Linked DNA regions of Caenorhabditis elegans. The protein of the gene in region 4 interacts with the protein of the main gene of each other region in a pairwise test. Each region holds a gene or a part of one and is shown on either strand. Other genes may lie near its edges.

What was found.
Region 1: the proteins of famh-161 (region 4) and K04G2.10 interact in a two-hybrid assay, tested with the Caenorhabditis elegans proteins (one large-scale study listed by BioGRID).
Region 2: the proteins of famh-161 (region 4) and R06F6.8 interact in a two-hybrid assay, tested with the Caenorhabditis elegans proteins (one large-scale study listed by BioGRID).
Region 3: the proteins of famh-161 (region 4) and pah-1 interact in a two-hybrid assay, tested with the Caenorhabditis elegans proteins (one large-scale study listed by BioGRID).

What each region holds. Positions count from the first base shown.
Region 1 is NC_003279.8:8,058,150-8,060,978, reverse strand, and holds K04G2.10 (uncharacterized protein), read right to left. Parts: upstream 1,176-2,829; coding exon 501-1,175; downstream 1-500. Other genes in the region: F18C12.4 (Small integral membrane protein 29), read left to right, coding at 1-19, 68-136.
Region 2 is NC_003280.10:10,813,978-10,821,894, reverse strand, and holds the start of R06F6.8 (Guanine nucleotide exchange factor subunit R06F6.8), read left to right. Parts: upstream 1-1,916; 5' UTR 1,917-1,945; coding exon 1,946-1,957; intron 1,958-2,009; coding exon 2,010-2,150; intron 2,151-2,199; coding exon 2,200-2,310; intron 2,311-2,360; coding exon 2,361-2,822; intron 2,823-2,876; coding exon 2,877-2,968; intron 2,969-3,048; coding exon 3,049-3,586; intron 3,587-3,713; coding exon 3,714-4,006; intron 4,007-4,102; coding exon 4,103-4,394; intron 4,395-4,992; coding exon 4,993-5,975; intron 5,976-6,369; coding exon 6,370-6,595; intron 6,596-6,644; coding exon 6,645-6,762; intron 6,763-6,810; coding exon 6,811-6,943; intron 6,944-7,578; coding exon 7,579-7,917. Other genes in the region: ech-4 (Delta(3),Delta(2)-enoyl-CoA isomerase), read right to left, coding at 1-110, 156-762, 811-863. UniProt on the Caenorhabditis elegans protein: Probable component of a guanine nucleotide exchange factor (GEF) that may be required for efficient fusion of endosome-derived vesicles with the Golgi.
Region 3 is NC_003280.10:8,762,092-8,767,055, forward strand, and holds pah-1 (Phenylalanine-4-hydroxylase), read right to left. Parts: upstream 3,121-4,964; 5' UTR 2,981-3,120; coding exon 2,945-2,980; intron 2,850-2,944; coding exon 2,733-2,849; intron 2,325-2,732; coding exon 2,132-2,324; intron 2,080-2,131; coding exon 1,917-2,079; intron 1,805-1,916; coding exon 1,608-1,804; intron 1,558-1,607; coding exon 1,422-1,557; intron 1,247-1,421; coding exon 1,120-1,246; intron 1,076-1,119; coding exon 846-1,075; intron 801-845; coding exon 626-800; 3' UTR 531-625; downstream 1-530. UniProt on the Caenorhabditis elegans protein: Catalyzes the hydroxylation of L-phenylalanine to L-tyrosine. Catalyzes the hydroxylation of tryptophan to 5-hydroxy-L-tryptophan. Plays a role in the biosynthesis of a melanin-like cuticle pigment.
Region 4 is NC_003283.11:20,529,152-20,536,024, reverse strand, and holds famh-161 (Protein fam-161), read left to right. Parts: upstream 1-1,852; 5' UTR 1,853-1,983; intron 1,984-2,471; 5' UTR 2,472-2,537; coding exon 2,538-2,612; intron 2,613-2,656; coding exon 2,657-3,690; intron 3,691-3,767; coding exon 3,768-4,033; intron 4,034-4,240; coding exon 4,241-4,380; intron 4,381-4,524; coding exon 4,525-4,647; intron 4,648-4,906; coding exon 4,907-5,265; intron 5,266-5,505; coding exon 5,506-5,565; intron 5,566-5,614; coding exon 5,615-6,002; 3' UTR 6,003-6,329; downstream 6,330-6,873. Other genes in the region: Y38H6C.15 (uncharacterized protein), read left to right, coding at 43-222, 276-467, 1,099-1,224.

The DNA.
Region 1 (2,829 bases), on a different chromosome or scaffold from region 4:
CGATAATGACTATGCAAAGGTAAGAACATAAATTAAATTAAATTTTCAATTTTATTTCATTTTTCAGAAAAAGAAATTGATTTTGGACATAATGCGATTAGTCAGAAGAAATGAACTCGTAGATGATGACAATTGATAGAACTTGTTAGAAATTACTTATTGGAATAAATAAAGTTTTCGTAACATTTAATGAATTTACCTAAATATGAAACCTGAGAACATTTATTTTTCAATACTGAGGGGCTTCCATAGCCATTGATTTTTTTGGGTGAATGAAAAGATTTAGCAAAACAATTTTCCAAGAAAACATTTAATTGTTTTTTAGATTATTTTAAAAGTTAAATTATTTTACCGAAATGGGCAAGTTTGTTGCTTTTATGAAGACTCCTGACTCCAAGGTTTTTCAATATAACGAAAAATAGTCATTACAGACTTTATTCGTAAAAAGCAAGAAAATAACATAAAGCATTGAAAAAAAAAGAGATTTTGAAGTTAGATTATTAGTTCTGGAAAATGAATTTATTATCGAGAACACCAGAAAGATTTTCCTTGTTTTCCTGCTTTTCCTCACTATTTACAGACTTCTCGACACATGAGGAGTCTTTCATTTCCAATTCCGATTGAAGAAGTGCCATTTCGAATTCCATCTTTTCAATTACTTTTTTCATCGAACCAATTTTCCGTTTATACTTCTCAATACTTTCTTTTTGTCGATCATCATTCTCTTCCATATATTTGACCATGTCTTGTTGATCCAATGCATAATCACGAAGCTTTTCATACTTTTCACTCCATTTTTGTTCAATAGCATCTTTCCATTCTTCTAATGGATATTCTTCTGGAGCTTCAACCTTTTTTCTCATTTCAATCATCAATTGATCGTTGATCTCCATCAACACTTTTACCATTGGATGGTCATGAATTGAATCTTGAGATTCTGTTGATCCTTCCTTTTCGACTTCCTGAATAGTCTTCATCTTCCGATTCTCACATCGACGCATTTGAACTTGTCTCTCCAAATCTTGAATTTGAAGTCTCATGGTGTTCTTCTCCACTTCATTACAAATGTTTGTCAGGTACCTCTCGTCCATCAACTCTTGAACTTTTCGAATTTGACGATTACATCCTGGGCAGTACATTTGATTCGAGCTTTGTGGTGGATTATAGCGTTGCATACTTCTTTTTAGTGTTGAGTTTCTGAAATAAATAAAAAATATAAAAATTAATGTGTTCCAAAAAAAATAAAAAATAAGGAAAACAAGAACAAAGATGGGTAATGTTTGATTGAGCACAGTAGCAGTCGATATATCGGAGACGAGCGTTTTCGTGTCGAGACCCAAAGCTGCAATCGATAATGTAGTGCTGTAACTAGCAAAAAGAATGGCATAGGAAAGGAGAACATCTGCTCCGATGACATCATTTCTCTCTTGCTATGAGATCGATATTATCTGGTTCCTCTCGCACCTGTTTATGACATTTACAAAGAAGTACCAATTTGGTAGATCAAAAAAGATTTCGAGAATGTTGGGACTGGAACAAAATTTTTTATAATATTAAGATTTTTAGTCGCCGACAATGGTTGCCCATTCCAACGTGCTATTCGATTTATGTTGGAGCAATCGACGGGCGAATTCGTGGTAGTACAGATTATATGCTTCATTTATCAAAGTTGTCTATGATTTATTGGATTGAAAGCAAAAGTTGGAGATTAGCTCAAAGTGAAAACTGCAGAATCAAATTGAACTCCGGCGAAATGCATGAAATATTAACTCTCAATTCAGTATTGCGGAAAACTGGTTGGAATCAGGAGTTGACAGATCTTTGAGACAAGAAAATGTGAGGGAATTTTCGCGTCTCCCGGTCATGTCCAGATTACAACAGTTTTCCGGGATGCTGAATTGATATGGAATCAGATAGAGCCGTCTTTATTTTTACTTCGTTTCTACTCGCTTTAGTTTTCAAAATGTTTCAGGTCAAGATCAATGGGACGAAGACGACTGAAGTAGGACGTGAGAAGATCATAGTAGAAAAGATTTCCGGCGTCGACTTGATTCGGAACCTCGCCGATTCGCAAAGATCAGTGGCCTCAACATAATTTCAGTTTCGTTCTAAAAAATTTGGGAAAATCAGTTGTTCAAACAGTACAAAGATTATGAACTCATTCTTAAAAACGTTATATTCCAACTCGAAAAAATCTTCACCTGTCGGGTTAGTAGAGATTCAGCTTGTGTGGTTCCTGCAAAAATAAAAATTCACACTCAAGTATAAATGTTTTTTTTTCAGAAAATACTTTTCAGGAATTGTGTTTTGTTTTAATCCTGATCTTTAATTATAAATGTCTCAGTGAACCGCCCGTGCAGAATATCAAAATTTCTCACTAAGCATGCCTTTTCACTACAATCGCATAACTTCTTTGTTCATGTGTTATCATGAATTTGCCATTTTCTCATCAATAAGTCTCCTTCTCATTCATTTTTCTTCATTTCTTTGTATCTCTAAAACCTCTAACACATGCCCGACCTTGACAGGGTAATATGCTGATATCCTCCACTCATATATGTATATTGTTGTTTTTTTTTGTCCAGTTGTTGTACGATTTTTATGATTTTTATGGGTAGTCTGGGAGACGAATGTTTGCAGTTTGCCGAACAAATATAATAATTCTGGAGTTTTGAATGTGTCCAGAGGAAAAGCAAATGTAAGAAGAAGGTGTGACCGGTTGGAAAAGCTGGTATCTGAATTTTCACAACTGAAAGTTTAAGTGGATATAAATGTACTGGAAAATATTAATACCACTTTCTATTTACTAAAGCAATAAGACCTATTATT
Region 2 (7,917 bases), on a different chromosome or scaffold from region 4:
GCCTTATCGGTTGCAATTACGTAGTCGAACATTCCGAGCACGGTCACAGCAATTCCTACGGCTGGGCCATTGATCAGAGCAATCAAAGGCTTCTCGTGGTTAATATAGGCCTGAAAATTTGAATTTATTATTGAAATATATATTTTTAAACTAACATTGACATAATCCTTCATAATAACTTTAGCTGTATTAGCCATATCCGCAATTTGCTCTTTAGTACCTCCAGCAGCAGCTTTAAAATTAGTCAAATCGTTTCCAGCGCAGTAATATGATCCATTGGCAGTAATCACAGTGATTGAGGTGCTCTTGTCATTGTTGGAGACCTCCAGTGCCTTTTGAATTCCTTGATACATTTCCAATGTCAATGCGTTGAACTTCTTTGGTCTATTCAATGCGATTTTGAACACTTTTCCCTCGCGAGTCACACTTAAACCGTCAACGTTCTCAAGTCCTTCGATTGATGGCCCAGTTGGTTCTGGAGCAGCAGAAGCTTCTTCGGAAATGAGTCCACCGACCAGTTTAGCATAGTTGGCGCGAGCTTCATCCTGAGTTTGTCCCTTCAAAGTATTCCAGGCATCATACTTGGCTCTTCCAACGAAATCCATCATTCCCGGGCGTTTTCCTTGCACATCCCCAGCGGTGGCTTGTTTGAAAAGCCCGTAGAGCTGCAGTTTCACGTCATTGTCCGGCTCTTCCTTCAGAGTTTTCAGATTTTTCTGCGCCTTCTCGAAGTCAGCCTGGGCAGAGAACGAGCGAACGGAACTGAAATTGAAGATTTATTCACAAATTAGATGATTTTTGCAGACTTACACTTGCGGATTGTAGAGAACACTTCTAGCGGCGAGGGTGAGATTTCGAAGCATTCTGAAATGAATTAAAATTGATTTTTTAAACGTTATAATTAATTTTTTCGGGGAAAAGAGAAAAAAAGAAAGAAAATGGACAACGTGAAGAAAAGAACAAGGTACACGGAGGGGCCGGGTAAATGATAAGAACGGCCGCCGTCTTTTTGTTGTTTTGAATGAACTGGCTACACACAAGAATACACATTGTAATGTGTAGCTGGACAATCGCTACTATACGCAAGACAATAGTGGAGCAATTATAAATGGGATAAATAATAGATTCAGGAAAATTTGGAGTTTCAATTTTTTTAAAAGAGAGCTCAAATTGTATAGATAACCTGGAAATTAAGATTTTAATATTAGAAAAAACAGTGAAAATCAAATTATAATCCCTAGGAGTCCTAGGAGAAATCCCCTCCTAGGAGAAATCAGAAAACTGATAAATAAAATCAATAAAATTTGCAGACAAAGGACGTTCACGGCCAAGGGTGTCAGTGTCCTGTAAAAATTACAAAAACGGGACAACGGGAATTCTCGTTCCCGTGAAAATTTTAAAAACGGGACAACAGAATTCCCGTTCCCGTGAAAACACCCCAAAAACGGGACAACGGGACAAACGGGACACGGGAATTGACACCCTTGTTCACGGCAACTACAAAATGCACAATACTTTGTCTACAGTACTCTGATTCAATTGTTTTGTTGTTTTTTTTTGTTAATTCTTTTTTTTTTGGTGTTAATTTTATTATTTAAATATGAATTTGTTATTTTTCGAGTGAAATCATTTTCATCCACGCAATCCTGAACGCCTGAAATTTTTGAAAAGTCTGCGTCTCTGCCCTCTAACGCGTGGCAACCGAGCGCGATTGCTCTTGAAAAATATTCACAGCTGGAGGCCTTTTTATTCTGTTTGAAACGTTTTTGCGTTCCAAATACAAAATAAAATCAATCTCCTAATTTTTAAATCAAGATGTCGAATTGAATCTGCTAAAAATTGAACGCGCTTCTTTATTACTGAGCTTTTAATCGCAAAAAACCGTTTTCCCCCGAATAATTAATATTTTTCAACAGAATACAACATTTGATGGATCTGGCATAGAATGTTCATACCTGTAAGTTTCCTTTAGAATTTTTTTAATAAAAAATAATTTTTGAAAATTCCAGAATGACAGGCCATCGGTTCTCCAGCTTCCGAAGCATGAAAAGGATTCGACTGCCGCCGATATCAAGTCAATTGTGGCAAATCGAGATCGAAGATTGATAGCAGTCGCAACAAATGATGCGATTTACATTTGGCTGGCAAATGTTAGTGCTGAAAACTAATAAAAATCTGATTAAAAAAACATAAATTCAGCCCCAACTGCTCCTGTGCTCCGTCGGGGTTATCGATGCCAATTTCAAAGAAACACGTGGAGAATTAAAAGAAATTTACTGGAAACCTGACTCAACAAGTATAGCTGTAACGGTAATATTTAAATTTTACAGTTCTTTCTTTGAAAATATTATATTTTTCAGACAAATCAATGCAAAATTTTAATCTATAATCTAGATTTGCGAGACGATGAACAATGCTACAATTTCACAGACTCTGCGGATCCATATTTCCAACGAAACTCACCGGAACTTTTTATAAAAGGATCTCGACCGACAGCTCATCTTCATCCAACAATAATCATAAATCTGGCTGATATACCAACATGTTGTGTTCCTTCTCGTGATGAATTTCTTGTTTGCCTTCAAAATGGATTCACTCATCATGTCACTTGGACTGGAGAGATTATTGCAAGCCTCTCATTCCGTGCCAGTTCAATTCCGTTCTCCGTGGATCAACTTCAGTCGAAATCTGAAAATATTACTTCAAAATCCACGTATATCTTTGACGCCGTGTATGCTCCACTTCTCGGAGGATTTGCGATTGTACTTTCCGATGGTCAAGGTGCTCTATTGACGTCGAATGATCCGAATTTTGCACCTAATGTGAGATTTTTATCATGAAAAATTAAAAAAAAAACCCATTTTTTATTATTCCAGGCAATTCTGGGAGTGTGGGCTCCGAATATGAAAGATGCCACGTGTTGCGATGTGAATCACAAGTTCCTTCTGATTCTTTTTGGATGTAAAAAGTGAGTTTTTTCAGATTTTTCAGATTTTAATTTTCAAAAATCAAACGCACAGTTTTCTTTTTAATCTAAACTATTTCCAGCGGCGACGTTTGTGCCTATAACATCGATGAACTAAATGGCTCACTCGTTCAATCGTTCCGAGTTGCTCCAAAAGTAACAAATGGTCCTGACTTGACGAATCGACTGGGTCCGGTTCACCGAATAACAGCCCTCGCGAATGGATACGGATTCGGTGCAATTTGGTCTCCACTATCCGGAGCTCATGCTCTTCCTCGGCTCGTCGCAGTTTTCACTTCATTCGGAGCTCAATCATTTTGCAATCTGGAAGGTGTCGTCGAAGAAGATCAAAATGATAGATACACGGCTATTGAATGGGGTCCAGAAGGTTTCCAACTGTGGCTTGGAACTGAAAATGAGCTTATGATGCAACCATTCGTGAGGAGTGCTTCATGTTCAAGCCCGGCAATGGAACATTGTGATAGAGCTGTATTGATGAGTGACTCGCAGGTTTTGATCAGTGCTGCAAGGGATCGAGAAGCAGAAGCTTGTGCACCGCATTCTGTATGGGATCATATTACAGTTACACATGAATATCTATCATCTAATTGGCCACTGAGAGTGAGTTTTTTAAAAGTAAAAACTAAAAGCATAAATTTGGTAAAACCATGAGGTAGGCATGTAGGCACGTAGGTATTTTCCGATAGAGTTTATTAAAATAAAATGTTAAAATTTAATATGTTTTCAGTATGCATCAACTGATCGAAACTATAAACATCTCGTCGTGGCCGGTGATCAAGGAATGGCATATTGTTCATTATCCAATCGACGTTGGAAGATTTTTGGAAATGAGACTCAAGAGAAGAATCTCTTGGTCACTGGAGGTGTCTTTATTTGGAATGATGACGTCATTGGAGTTGTTGGAGTTGCTGCGGATACTGACAAGTCCCATCTCTCATTTTATCCAATTTCTCAGAGACTTGACAGTCGATATGCGTCGGTTGTGGATTTGGAGCATAAATCGGTCATGTCCGTGTTACGGTAAGAAATATTCAATCTTGGAAATGAACTCTCATTATCAGTTTTTTTGGAATTATTCTAGATTCAGTGACATTAATATTTTCCCAATTTTTCCAGCGACGACGTTTGTGCAGTATTCGATATATCGGCTCAAATTACGCTTTATAAGCTCACGGCTCACTTGGAAACTGGACGAGATGCTTTTACAAAAGTCTCCACTGAAATTGTGACTGTTATTCGAATCAACGAAATTGTTCCACATCCAACATGTATTGTATCTCTTCAAATGACACAGCTGAATCTGGATGTACGGGGGAAGTTGTCACCTGCATTTTATTCAAGTATCGATACTGTGCTGGTTAATATTTCGGGAAGATTGATCACTTTGAGTGTTAATGAGGATGGAAAGGTTTGTACGGAAAATTAAAATTGCATGGTTTCTGAGTTTCCAGAATTTTGCAAAATTTGATGAATATTTAGAATTTTTGGAATTTTTAAATTTTATATTCTTGTCCAATTTTTGGTATTTCAGAAATTTTTAAAACATTCTGAATTTTTTGAATTTTCAGAACTTCTAGAGTTTTCGAATTTTTGGGTTTTCTGGAATTTAAAAAAAATTAAAATATTTTGGAATTGAATTTTTTGTTTCGAAATTTAATAATTTTCAATTTTTAGAAATTTCAAAATTTTTCCGTTCCTAGATTTTTCAACATTTTGAATTTCAGTATTTTTAAAACATGAAAAATTTTTCCTTTTTCCTAAATACTCGGTTAACTCGGTTAAACTAATTTTTTTCAATTTTCAGAATTTTTCAATTTTGGAATTTTGCAAAATTCAGTTTCTTTTTAATTTTCGGATTTTTTAAAGTTTTGAATTTGTGAAATGATTCAAATTTAGACTATTTGAATTTTCTGGAATTTTGGAAGTTTTGGGATTTCTGAAATGTTTGGTTTTTAAATTAGAAATTTTTGGAATTCGGAAATACAATATTAAAATAAAATTTACAGCTCCATCAACCCATGGTAATCGCGTCATACGTGGAAAAAATGTGGCATGACCGTTGTCAAGTCTCCCAATCAACCCAGTCTCAAAATCAAGATCTTCCATGGAAGAACCATCGGCGAAATGGATCAAATGTTTCAATCCAAAGTGTTTCCACATCAACAACTTCAGAACCATCATCTCCAATGAATCAATCATGTTCTTCACATTTGAGTAATGCTTTATGGATTGCTTGTGGTGCAAAAGGAATCAAAGTTTGGATGCCGTTGGTGCCAGGAAAACGAAATTTAGCCACACAGGAAATGACGTTTATCGCGAAACGAATAATGCTTCCATTTGAACTTGATATCTATCCAATTGTGATTAGTGCCAAAGATTGTCTTGCAATGGGTGTCGAGAGTCAACTACAACATGTTGCAAGAGCTTCAAGAAATCAAGGACAAATGGAAAGTATCACTATGTATGGACTTCATCGCAATAGTGAAGTATTTGTGCATCACCTGCTCCGACAACTTTTGAAGCGAAATCTTGGAGTTTTTGCTTTGGAGCTCGCCGGAGCCTGTCGTTCTCTTCCACATTTCACGCATGCTCTTGAGCTTTTGCTCCATGGAGTCCTTGAAGAAGAAGCTACAAGTAGTGAACCAATTCCAGATCCTCTTCTCCCAAGATGTGTAGCTTTTATTCACGAATTTCCAGAATTTCTGAAAACCGTAGCACATTGTGCACGAAAAACTGAATTGGCACTTTGGAGAACGTTATTTGATGTCACAGGATCTCCAAATGCACTATTCGAAGAATGTCTACAACTGAAACAACTCGAAAATGCTGCAAGTTTCGTGATTGTCCTGCAAAATCTTGAAACCACCGAAGTGAGTATGGATCAAGCAGCGAGACTTGTGAAGGAAGCATTAGAAGAGAAAAAATGGACGATTGCGAAGGAAATGGTCAGATTTGCAAGATCTATTGGTTCGGAGGATATTGATGCATTGTAAGAATTAATGAATTCATTAATAGAGAAATTAAAAAAGAATGCCTCCAAAAAGAGAACGCACGGAAAAAAGATTCCCAGAATACATGTGCCCTACATCCGTAACTCTCCTTTTATCAAGCGAGGTATTCAGAATCAAGGTCACCGTTGTTATCGTATCCGTTTCACGCTACGATCCACAGAATCGGCACCCACTTTGAAAAATAATTAAATGTGTTCAGAAATAGAATAATGACCGAAACTAAGTTGAATTCGCAACAACGAATTATTAGATACCGTAATCCACACATTTGCATTTGAAAAATTGGCCGTGTCGAGACCGGCTACCGTAGTTTTTAAGCAAACAAAAATAAAATTTGATAATAACTTTGCAATTGTTTTAATTTTTAAAAAGTTTCAGAACACCTCCACCAAGTGCCAAGACTTCTCTATCCCGCCGACCTACAGTATCCTCACCGTCCGCTGATTCTTCCACTGAATTCGTGATTAATAGATTTCAAGCGGGAGCTGCTGGAGGAAGATTAAATAAAGTTCGACATTCACAGAGTACTGAGCAAAAAGATGCACCGAGAAAAGATTCGATTGGCGGAAGTTCAAAGGATAAAATGGCGTTGTCTTGGGTTTGTGTGTTTTACTGGAAATTTTTATTTTTATAAAATCTAATTTCAGGGCCTATCTGGTGAACTTTCTCCACAATTGGCTACGAATCGACTCGCCGCAAAAATGACATCAATTCTAGAAGATCACGCGTGGCATTTGCTGAATAATTATTGGCTTCTAGATCTTGGTAATTGGAAAAAAAAATTCAGGACAATTTGGATTCAATTTTTTTCAGGATTCTTCTGGTCCGAACTTCAATTCGATTTGCTCGGTCTTTTGGAGACGCGACGGAAACAAATTTCTCTTTCACCGAAAACTACAAACGAAAATTGCTTTTTGATTGAAGATTTTGCCTTGGCACTTACAAGGTAAATTGGGATTCTTCCACTGAAAATGTAATAATTCAGAAATTTAAAAATAAACTTAAATTTTCGAGTTTTCCAGTTTTTTCGAGAATCTGAAAATCGAAAAAAAAACTTGAAATTTAATACTAAAAAATTTAAATTTTTAATTATTCCGATTTTTCGTGTTTTTCAGAAAAATGATACATTATACGGAAAAAAAATTTTTGATTTTAAATTTCCCGTTTTTTTTTTAATTTTTAAATTCTCGGAAAAATTGGAAAACTCGAAAATTTAAGTTTATTTTTAAATTTCTGAATTGTTACATTTTCTGTAAAAAATAATAATTAAAGAAAAAACACGAAACATTTTTTGGGGGAATTTTTAAAATCTAAAATTATTGGAAAAAAATGCAAATTTTATCTTTCAAAAAAAAAAAACTGAAATTTTGAAAATCGAAAAATTAAAAAAAATTTTAAGCGTTGTAAAAATATATGAGAAAAACCCAGAAGCTAAATATTAACCAGAAAAATGTAAATTTTGATGAGAAAAAATTATTGAAAAACTATCGGAAATTTTGAATATTCCTTCGATTTTGTCGATTTTCAATAAAAATTGGGAATATTTTTAATATAAAAAACTCTAATTTCAAAAATTTTCAGACTCCATGCTCAATTCTCGTGGCCATATCCTCTCATCGGTTCTCAATTCGTGCATCAAATTGAGAAGAAGCTTGGAAATATTCGTGTCAGCCAGAGTACTGCAAGCTTGAATGGACTACTAAATGACTCATTGGATAATATAAAGAAGCCTAAAGCCAGAAAATTGGAAAGGACTGTAGTTGATTTAAATGGAGCTAGATCGAGAATTCGTGAAACGGATATTGAAGCTAGCGAAGAAGACGTTGAGATTCAAGAAGCCGTGCTGGAAAGAGTACGTGGAAGTGCTGTGGAACTGGCACCAGTAATCGATAGATCCCCATCGACATCTTCTTCAATGAA
Region 3 (4,964 bases), on a different chromosome or scaffold from region 4:
CGAGACTTCCGTACAACACACACACACACACAAAAACTAAACAATAATCAAAAATGCATGACAATTTATATGCACAGTTTTCGTTTTTCGCAGTTAGATCACTCACACCAAAACACTCGCTGTCGTAGATGACGTGGTTTTTGCAACAAAAATGGATAACTGGCTTTAATTTGGGAAACATTTTGGTGCTCACACCAATTTTTCGCACTTTTTTCATGTGATGCTTCAAATAAAGTAATTGCTGAAAAGGAAATCGTTTCAGATGCCGGAAAAATGTTGGAAAAATACGCGTTAATCCTGGCGAGAGAAAAAAAACAAAACAATTGGAAGTGAACAAGGCTTCGAATTGTTTATTTTCATTTCAGTGCATTGCTTCCAACGACGGTGAACACTATTTTTAATTAATTAGTTTTCACATTTCCCTGTTTTCAAGGAGTTAAGGGAATATGATATGTTTTTTAGAACAGTCATCATAGTTGTAACTCCATCGTAGGTAGTTTAAAAATCGTCTGTAAATCGAGCAGCATGGACAAATTTGTAATTGTTGTTCAGGTTTCTTTGTAATTCAACAAACATTGAGAACAATGTACATTTATTCTTGCAAATTAACAATTTAATCAAAAAGTCACTTCATCTTGAGATTGTTCACTTTTCCAAGAGCTTCTTCCAAAGTAGAAATATCACTTCTGATGTCTCTTGCGAGACGTTGAAGTGCTGCTACCTTGTCGAGAATTTCAACTCGTTGAGTGTAAGCATTATAACGAATTTGGAATGGACGATTGATGGTAGCTGCCCATGATCTGAAATTATCTAGATTACAGTTGAAACTGACTATTTGATCCTACTTAAGTTTGTTCTTAGCACTTGCAAATGATTCAGCTAAGAAATACTTTGGCTGATATTCTGTGATTGGATATTTGGTGACACAACATACAGCTGGATCAAAATCTACAACTTCCGGCTTATCACTCAACGCATATTGAAGCTCTCCAAATGAACTCAAAAGTCCGGCTCCGTAAGCTTTTTTCTCCCCATCTTGTTGACAGATTCCAAATTCGATTGTGAACCAGTAGAGCTAATATTTCAAAATAAAAAGGGGGTTTCAATGTTCAAACATACTGTGGCAAGTTTTTCAATAACATCATCTGGAGCTCCAAGAGAAGCAAGACCGATTTCCTGTGAGAATTGTGCAAATTCAACATCAGCAAATAGTGGAACATGTCCCAGAAGCTCGTGGCAGATATCTCTGAAAGTTACATCTCCAGCTTATTGTCAAAAATTCAGAATATATCCAGATGATAATCAACCGATTAGATTTTATTTTCCTTTTATGTTGCACTATAGAGTTTTCACAATTTTTTCAAAGCAAAAGTCGTTTACGAAATCCCACCCTCGGTTAAAATTATCATGTTCAAACTCACGGTTCAGGTGTGTATTTTGGAGCGGAATGATGGCGAATGTATTGTGTGGAATGAAAAACACGGAAGGCCAAACCAGCCAAGAAATCACGAGAAGAAAGAAGACCAGCGACTGGTCGAATCGTGTACCCGGTACAATCTGAACACGAAACAAATACAAAAACAATCAGATGATAATGATTTGTTTACCCTTCAAAAAATCTGAAACATCCTGCAATTGTGGAATGCGGTCAGGTCCAAAACCACAATTCTGCTGGAGGAGTGGGAATATGTAGTTGAACTCTTGGCAAGCGTTTTTCGGGTACATAACTGTCAGCTCGTTGTAGACTGTACGCCACGTGGCAATTTCTTCATCAGTGTAGGTGATAGTAGGGATCTTGTCTCCGCTGGAAAGTACGATCAGGTTGCAATTCGGATTTTTTGGATTTTATTCAGTACGCCTTCAATGTTACATATTTATTGGCACATATTGCTACTTTTGTTGATGAAATGACTTACTGTTTGAAGTTGAATGCAATATCGGCGAAAAACTTTCTGCGCTCGCGGTAGGTCATGTCCTTAAATCCAGGGTGATCGGCATCAAGCTCAGCTCCATAAGAAAGAATTCTGTTGGCAAATTGATCGATGTCGTTGATCTTCTGTGGGAACCATGGAACAGAATCTACAAAGCTCTTGAATTTAATACTGTGAGTTTCATTATTGTTATAGCGTACCCTTGTTTTGTTTGTTTTTGGTGTTCCAGTCTTGAACAAGAACCTTCTTTTCAGCTTTTTGTTGGAAATGCTCAATAACTCCTTCAATCTTACGATGGTCTTCAGCTTCAGCAAATTCAACGAGCACCTCATAGCATCCTTCATGAGTCTTTGATGGTCTTGATTCAATGTGAGACAGATTCACATCATGTGCCTGCAAGAATGTGTAATGAAGCATGTAATTGGTAGGAATTTGAGACAATTGATATGATCTCTTTTTCTCGTGACACGATTTTCGACATCTTTGATAATCAAAAATCGCGAACCGGATTAAAAAATGCAACTACGTAGTTTATCTCTTATCATATTTAGAAACAGTTTGGTGCAAATTTTCAAATTTTAATTTGATATAAATGTTTTTTCTATGTCTACTCAACCGTCTAAACATAATTGAAGATCATATTATTCAACGCTTTATGATGCATAAAATATTAAACCGCCTGATCAAGAGTAGACGTGAGAATCATAAGATTTAAAAAAAAAAGTGTCGCTGACGCAATAGTCATCCTCTGAAGTCTCATGATCCTCTGACATTTCTAGTCTGGTTTTTTTCATGACTAACCTGGAACAGCTTCAATGTTTCAGCGAGAGCTCCTGCCTTTTCACGAAGAGTGAATACGATAGTAGTCTTGCCAATGTCGGCGTTGACGTCAGCAACGTACGATTCCATGGCGTACTTCTGAAATAAGTTGGACTTTAGTAATTGGAAATAATTTTACACAAAATTCTCAAACAGAAGTTTTTCTTGATCAGTTCAAACAAGGAAGGTCTCACCAAGAAGTCAAGATCATCTTGTCCAGCTGGTGGCATTTTCAGAGAACAAGATTTGGTTTTCAGAGGAATAGACAGTCACCGGGAAATAAGAATTAAACAGAGACAAAACGTGAGCCGTACGTTGCCGTTTATACGAGACGAAATAGCTGGAGACTCAGAAGCCTAGAGATACAAGGCGTGGCCTATGAACTAGATAATTCGTGTGGCCCCCAATACCATTCTGCAGAGAAAAATCCACGTGGGAGGAGACTCGCGGCTACCCATACACAACCTACACGTGGGTTTTCATTAGAGTGTAGTGTGAGATAGAAGAACGGTTGGAAGAAATTGAAAAAAATACGAAGAAGAAGAAGAACAGTCAGATGATGAACTTGAAAGCACGTGGAAAATGATATGAAATAGATCACAGACAAATGGACGCCTGAACAATAAAAGATATGATTATGATCAATGAAATACAGTTTGAACTTCCAAAAGAAAGCATGCCCCAGTGGATCTTCTTCGTAAAATAGATGTAAATCTCTGTTTCTAGTTGAGTTGAAATTTAAGACGTTGGGTATGAATTGGATTGTAGGCCTTTTCAGGCGTATGTGCTTACATACAGTCATTTTTCAATTTCAATTAATTGATGAAGCTTAAATATGGATAGTGGAATGTTTCATTTTTTCACGATGCTGAAAAAGGGGAAACTGAAACAGGTTTTTTTTGTTGAGTAAATTTACCGAATTTGGAGTCTTACGACTGCCTTGTGACGAGCCTCGTTCAAAACTTTTTTTCAACTTCCTCAAATTTCTCGAATTTTAGTTTTTGACCTTAAACAGACATTTCAATGGTTTTGATTGAAGAAAAAACCAAGTTTTCTTTGAAACGATCAAATGGGTTACGGTAAAAGCCATAAAATCATGGTGTATCGAATCGAAAGTAGGAGGGGGACGCTGAGAAAAATCAACAGAACACAATAATGAAAACTGGTTGACGCATCCTTTGTATTGTGAAAAGGAAGGAAAATGAGATGAGATGAAGACGTGGAATATTTAGATGGAAATATATAGGAGGACGTTTGGTTGAATGTCTGACATTTTAGGATGATAAATTTAGAAGAAAGAAATTTATATGAATGGATGAGACAAGACGATGTCATAAATCAGTTTGAAAACGGCAGAAACGATCAATAGTTGATGATGTCCGACTGGCTTTTATCAACTTTTCGTGAAAATTTTCGTTTGCAACGCGAATCTTCTGCAGACCATGATCTGAGATGTCTATGTCAATGAGGTAAATAGGAACAGTAATACAGCATTGAAACAATTAATTTAGTCGATGGTTGATCATAAAAAATGGAGAAATTTTGAAAATACTCGTGTACGAGATCAACTGATCAGCGACGGTTTCGATGAAAACAGGGGAAAATATAAGGATGATAACACTTTTGAAGATAGCAAAATATTTTGGTTCAAACAGTTTTTAATTAATTGAAATTATTTAACAATTTTCTAATAGTATGATAACAAATTCTATAATTTTTTTTAATAATTTCCGTAGTTTTGACCAAATTTTTGTTTAGATTGTAACTTCCACGGATATCACGTATACTTTGGCAATAGAGGCTGGCATAGGCCGCCTGGTAGGACTTTGTATTTATGTATTTTCAGCTGTTACCCTCTTTTTGAAAAATTAAAGTATGGCCGAAAAAAAGTATTTTTAAAATATTCAAAATTAGCAAATTGATTTTTTTTTTCAGATAATTTGGCAAACATCAGTTTCTTATTACAAATGCAAATGTTTGACGTTGGACTAGTATAAATAAAGAGCTCGATGTACAAAAATTATATCATAATATTGAGAAAAATGGATCAAACATACCTTTCTAATTTCATCAATATTCATCCTTATATAGCTGGACTCAACAGACCAATAATATAACTGATGGAATGTACGAAAAAGGAAAAGGAAGGAGGTACTGCCGGGATAATCATCAGTTTACGTTATCATCTTATATCTTGAATGCACCGAGTCGCGT
Region 4 (6,873 bases):
AAGCCTGCTAAGCCGGACTCTGCCTGAAATTGACTTTTCCAGATTTGTGCCGGCAAAAAGAAGCAAAAGTCAACAAAGCCTGTGGTTGAATCAACCTCGGCTTCAAGTTCTGTCAAAAATGGTGCCAATGCTGCTCCAGACTGCCCAGTTCCACCACCGGGGCTTAGATCAGTCGGCAAGGACACTCAGGACCCGAATATGCCGCCAAACAAGGAAGACAAGGTTACCAATTGCCCAACAAGAAAATTAAAACAAATCAAAGTCTGAATTTTCAGAAACCAGAGTCCAAAAAGTCAGCGGAAAAGCTTTCGAAAAAATCGGACAAAACCAAGAAAAAGACGACAGTATCGAGTGAGGATAAGCCTGAAAAACCGGAAAAATTGACCGAAGAGGAGAAGCCGAAGGAAAAGGAAAAAGCGAAGGAGAAGACTGTTCCAGTTCAATCGAAGCTTCGCGAGGGCGACAAGGTAAGCTGAGAATTTTTGGAAAATTGGGCTTATATGAGGTCGCCGCAACGACGCCGGCGCCGGACTCACTCATGCCGCATGTATCCGTATGTATAGTGCGGCGCGGAACTGGGAATGTGGCTACCGCTTTTTTTCAAATAACAATCTTTTCTCACTACATTGAGTACACACCAAACGACTCGTTTCATTTACTAGCGTGCTCATTTACTTGAAATCCCTAACAATGGCTCAATCCCTTTGACGCTCATTTACTAATGTTTTCGCCACAAAACGTCATAAAGGTTGGATGGTAAAATTGTAAACATACCAACTATGCTGATATATCAGCATACTTGGTACATCGTTAATGTTACTTACATCCATTTCTCTGTTAGTAAGGAGATGTTATCTGTTATCTGGCTTGCACAAAACAAATTGGACAAAAGAGAGATGTCCACAAAGCGACGCCGACTCCTAAAAAAATCAGGGAGACAATACCGCGGTCTGCGTATCTCCACAGGCTCACCTGCTAGATGGCAATCAACCAGCGTTCAAGTAAATGAAAACACTAGTAAATGAGGGCTTGCCTGAGCATAGTTTTCCGGTCAAATTAAACATCTTAAACCTTCATAACTTAGCGTTGAATTTTCAGAACGCGGTTGTCACAGATCCTATTGTCACACCTGAAACGGACGAGTACCCCACACTTGAAGAGGATGGCGATAAGAAGACGGAGAAAAAGACTTTCAAGAAGGATAAGACTGATAAAAAGAAGTAGACTAGTATGTGGAATAAATGATTTTTGATATTAAAAATAAAATTTCTTTGACGAAAAATGTTCTCCTCGACATTTTATTGGTTTTCAACTTTTTTCTATTTTCCGGCAAATTGGCAAATCTCGAAATTGCCGGAATTTGCTGGAATAACGGCAATTGCCGAAAATTTTCGGAAAATTGTTGTTTTGCACTTTTTTTTGTAAATTCCAGTTTCATTGGCAAACCGAAAAATCGGCAAACCGGAAAATTGCCGGAATTGAAAATTTTCGGCAATTAAACAAACCGGCTAATTGCCAAAATTGAACATTTCCGGCAAATCGGCAAACCGGCAATTTGCCGATTTGCCGAATTTGTCGACGAAAAAATTGCCGCTCGCCCCTGTTGTCGACCTACATAGGTCTGGATACCTACAAAGTTCCCACTAGTAGTACTAATAAAAGGGGAGGTAGAAGATGAGATTAACGATTTCCTGAATTCCATCTCAAGCTGTCTCGCGTTAATTATGCACCACACCCTACCCTTTTATTTCGTAATCTCTCCCTCCGAGCCACCCATCTTCACCAACAACTACTACCACCTGCCGTACGTTTCCATAACAACCTGGGCCTCACTCCTGTCAAACTCTTTTTCTCGGATTGCTCTCTCTCTCCCGCTTTTTGTGTTCTACTCAATTTTGAGAACACATTTATTTCGGAAAATAATATTTCTGAAGACATGCTCTAGAAGTTTTTGACGGCAGTAGTAGTAGTCGTATATTTCCTGTAAGTTTTTGAATTTGTATGTTTTTTTTTGTTGCTGGTTTCAAACAATTTTTGTTTTCAAACGTATTTATTTTAAAAATACGCATGTAAATTTCCTGCAAAATCTTTTTTGTCAAAAATTAAAAATTTATCTTCAAGATATATGTTTTGTATTGAAAAATTTGAATTCAAATTTCTCTTTGGAAAAATTTCAGCAAATTTGTGTTCCGTAGTGACGTTAAAAGTTGTTAAAATGCAAATTTTTTCAAAAAAATTTAAAATTTTCCATTTTAATTTCCTTCATACATTTTTTGGAAATTATTTGACTTTTGCGCCAAAATTTATTAGTATTATAGGCTTACAATTAGGATTAGGCTTAGGTTTTTCACCAGAGGAAATTATTGAAAAATAAAAAAAAACAACGTAGAACAAATTTCACCAAATTTTGAATCTTTGTTGAAACTACCACAATTTGAAATAAAACAAACTCATTAAAAAAATGGTTCCAGATTTCCCCATGGAAAATCCACAACTTTCGTATATTTCCTAGCATTTCCTTCCTAATATTCCACAAAATGGCTCCACCGAAAGATCCACCAGTGCTGAGGAATCTACAAGCCACAGCGGACTTGCTAGACGCTCTTCAAAATGTAAGTTCAGCTTCTCTTACAGTACCTCAAAAAATTCGTTCCAGGACCCATCATTACTCAACGATGAGGAGTTCATCAAGCGTCTCTCAATTTTGCGTCAAAAACACGAGGAGACCACCAACTTCCTTGCCAAGAAGCTCGGCGCCCCACCGTTGCCAACTATGATGACGTCATCAGAAATTACACAGCATAGGTCGAGCTATAAGGTGACAAAATCTTCGAGTTGTCATTTTCAAGATGAAGCTTCTCCTTCTGACTATCAAATGCCACGTCATCTAGATCTGAAACCGAGATCTTCAGAAGTGAGAGTCCCTGTTCGGGCCGCACCGGAGCCTCCGAGGGAGCAGTCTTGGAGTCAAACTGAGTATGCCACGTTGGCTCACAATCAAAGCCACGAGGCACTTTATGAGGATCCACGTCATCAGGTTCATGCTACATCATCCCATCAGAATCCACGTCATCAAAGCTCTCGGCACCACAATATCGAATCTACAGCACCATCACAGGTCTCTGTTACGTCATCAGTCCAAAGTGTAGCGGCTTTATCTGGCCAAAATCCTCGTCAGCAGGTTCATGCTACGCCATCCCATCAAATTCCACGTCATCAAAGCTCTAGAACCCACCAAAATTCACGTCAACAGGTTCCGAGTGCTACATCATCAACTCTCCAAAATCCACGTCATCGAACATCCAGCGCGTCACGTCATCATTCGACAAGAAATGCCACGTCAGCAACAGTCCGGCAAATTTTGGCAAACGCATCGACCCGGCACCTCAGCTCCGCACCACACATCGCCACTTCCGTCGCCATGCCATCAGGGTTACTGTTATCTTCTAGTAATACGAAACACGTGGCATCTTCTAAGTCAGAAAATCCACAATTTGCCACGTCATCACACGTTGTTGAGGAGAGTTTTTTAGAGGACGGAATGTCAACGACACGGGAAGTTCCAACAATTCGGGATGAAGTTGTAGCGGGCGACTTAAAGCTTTCTAAGAATCGATCCAAGTCTATGCATCAGCTATCAAAGTATACACCACAGGTTACCGTACCGAAGCCGTTTCAGTTGAGCTTGAGGTAAGTAGCTTACAAGGGAAGTATTTCAACTTAGTTGCGGACTTCTGGATGTAACCTAAACTATAATTTTTTTTCAGAAAATCCACTGGAAATACTTACGCAAAAAAGTTCATGAGCGGCCTAATTACGGAAAAGCAAAAACTTGAGGAGGACGCCAAGAAAGCATTGGAAAACACAAAATTTCGGGCAAAACCTGTCCCCAAATCAACATATCAGCCTACAAATACATTTGCGACGGAGCAAAAATACGTAGAAGCCATGAGGAAAAAGGTGGCGGCGAAGGCTCGGAGGAAGTTTGAAGTTCAGAATGAAATGGTCCGATCGAAGAGTGAAGGAAATTTGGGTATGGTTTTTACATTGAAACTAGGATTTCTTGCAAAGTTTTAGGAAAACTGTTTTTTTTGTTGGAATAAACCGGAAAAATTACTAGCTTTTCTCATAGTCAGCTATTTAAATTTTAAAGGAACATTATGAAATTGATTATTGCCTACCGCAAATTAAATGTTGAATTCAAATTCAAAAAAAAATACCATTCCAAATTTTTTTACAGCTTCAATAAAACCTCTCGGGTACGTACCTCCATCAACATATATCTCACCAATTCCAGTGAAACCAAATGCCAGAAGCCGCAGTGCAACTATGAGAGCGACTATTCTTATTCAAGAAGCTACTACTCCAAAGGGAATTAAGGTAAACAAAATTAGAAATTTTGAACAATTAATAATTTTATTTAGAAACAAAAATTAAAAAAATTTAATGTTTTGGTTTAGAAATTTAGTTTTGTTTCATCTATATTCATCTACAAATTCGTTGTCAGAATATTCAACATTCCAGAGCCACCGAGCCCAGTCAAACCTAACCCATCACCTACGTCACGGGCGGTGCACTATGGACGCCTCCGCCGTCTCACTACACCGGCGGACTTCGCCACCGGATTTTGAGAAAATCCATGCAAAAGTGAGTCTAAAAATTAGTTATTTAAAAAAAAGTTGAGTGAAATTTTAAATTTTGGTAAAGTTTCAGAAAACCCAAATAAGTAGTTCTTTTTTGTTATTTCGTTTTTTTTGGAGCATAAAAACTATGTATTTTGCAAATTCTATGGATGCATGCTAATTTTCTACGTGGCACGATATTGCCTGGTAGGCACGTATTGGGGCTCAGAGTAGGCGTAGGCCGCCTTGAAGACAAATAGGTGATTATATAATTTTTTTTCCAGATCACCGATAACTTTCGTAACACAAATTCAAAACCCTCCACTGTGCCGATACCTTTCAAATTCGCATCCAGAAGTAAATCAGCAACTTCGAGACACGGAAATTGTCAAGAACAGGCTCCAAAACCATTCAAAAAATCGACTGAAAACTTGCCGAAAACCTCGAAAAATCGAGTGCCCAGCACTCACGCAACACAACTTCGCGAGGAGCTCAACCGAGCAAAAATTGAGCTGAAAAAGTCTGAAAAATCGGGAAAAAACGGGAATTTCTGGGCTGAAGATAATAAGCAGAGGATTTCCTCGTTTTTGGGAGCACGGAGCAAAACTGAGGAGGATATTGCGATGAGGACAAAGCAGAAACTGTAAGACTTGTTATTTTTAAAAAATATTATCAAAATTTGAAAATCGTTGAGGTTTGTCAAATTCAGCAAAAAAAACATTTTTCCAGAAAACGGGCAGACGCATAACCGGTCACTCCCTCAAAATGGTTTGAATTTCAAAAAAAAAAGAGAGAGACACAGACAGCGTGTCGCTCTGCCTGTCTGCGTCTCTTTTTCTCATGTTCTTTTTTTTTAATGTTAAAACAGTTTCCTGATTTTCAGGCAACAACAGCAGGAAACAACTCAAGAATACATGAGGCAGCTGGCCGAGATGAAGCAGAGGTTAGTTTGATAATTTTCGGAAGTTTTGAAAACCTTCCAAAAATTTCAGAGTGCTCAACGGCCCGCTAATCATGGAAAAACAGACGGCCCTGGCGCAGGAGCACCGTCTAAAACGAAAATTTGAGGAACGCATGAAAAGCGCCAAGGGGCGAGGTATAGAAAGGGTCCAAAGCCAGGAAAAGCAGCAATCAATCGGGAGAAGAAGCTCAGAAGTTAGTGGAAGTGGAACTTTTGTGGTTGACAAGGGTTATGAAGAGAGTTTTGAGTCGGAAGACAAGTCTGAAAAGTCTGGAAGTTCCACGCCATCTGAGTCTGGAAGTGGTTCTGAATCCGAGAATGAATCCAGGTCATCAAGAAGCTCAAAGCCAAAAAGTTCAAAATCAACGTCTTCAAAATCTTCAAGCTCACGATCCACTTCATCTTCCTCGGAAGCTTAAATGCTTGTTATTTTCTTTCAATTGACTAGGCTTTTAGCAGTTTTTATTTCAAAGAGTTTCAGCATTTTCCAAAAAATCGAAATTTTGTAAGACTTTTTTTCCGTTTGACCGCTCCTTTTTTGGTTCTTAACTCAAATTAGGTGCTTTTTTTTAATTTCTTGGGTAAAATTTTCGAAATTTGTTTTTTAATATAAAATGATTTATTGTAAAATGCTGGAGTTTCAGTTTTTCTTGAGTAATTTTAAGATGTGATTTCTTTGCGATTTATGAACAAATTGGTGATTTTTATTCAGTTTTATTTTTTAATAAATTCTCCATAAAATTAAAGTTCATTTTTGAAGTCCACCAAAATTGTTTACAATTTTTTAATTCATAATTTTAAAAAATGTTGAATTTCACGCCAGATCTCGAAGAATTAATGATATTAAACTTTTATAGAAGTTACGATTAATTTGATTCAAACATTATGTGAAGTGGAAACTATAAAGAAACTATGTATCAAATTATATATATGAAATTAATATTAAATTCTTATTTTTAAACGTTTTAAATGAAAGATTGACAAAAATTAATTGGAAAAATCATGACTGGAAAATAAGTTGATCCCTCTGGCAAATCACGCCGGCAATGTAGGTTGGCAAAAGTTCGCAGATGAACACTTTTTCCGGAATGTCAGTGTCGAACATTTGTAATTCCTTGTCTGGGAACTCACTGAAAATTTGATATCAATGATTTTATTTTAAAGCCAAAAAGATTCACTAACGAAATGTCGTATTCCCAGTCGGGAACATGCTGGAACTTCCTGAATTGCGGCTGCACATCATATAGCTGCATAATTCCATCGATGTCCATTTCCACAATTGTTCTAAAT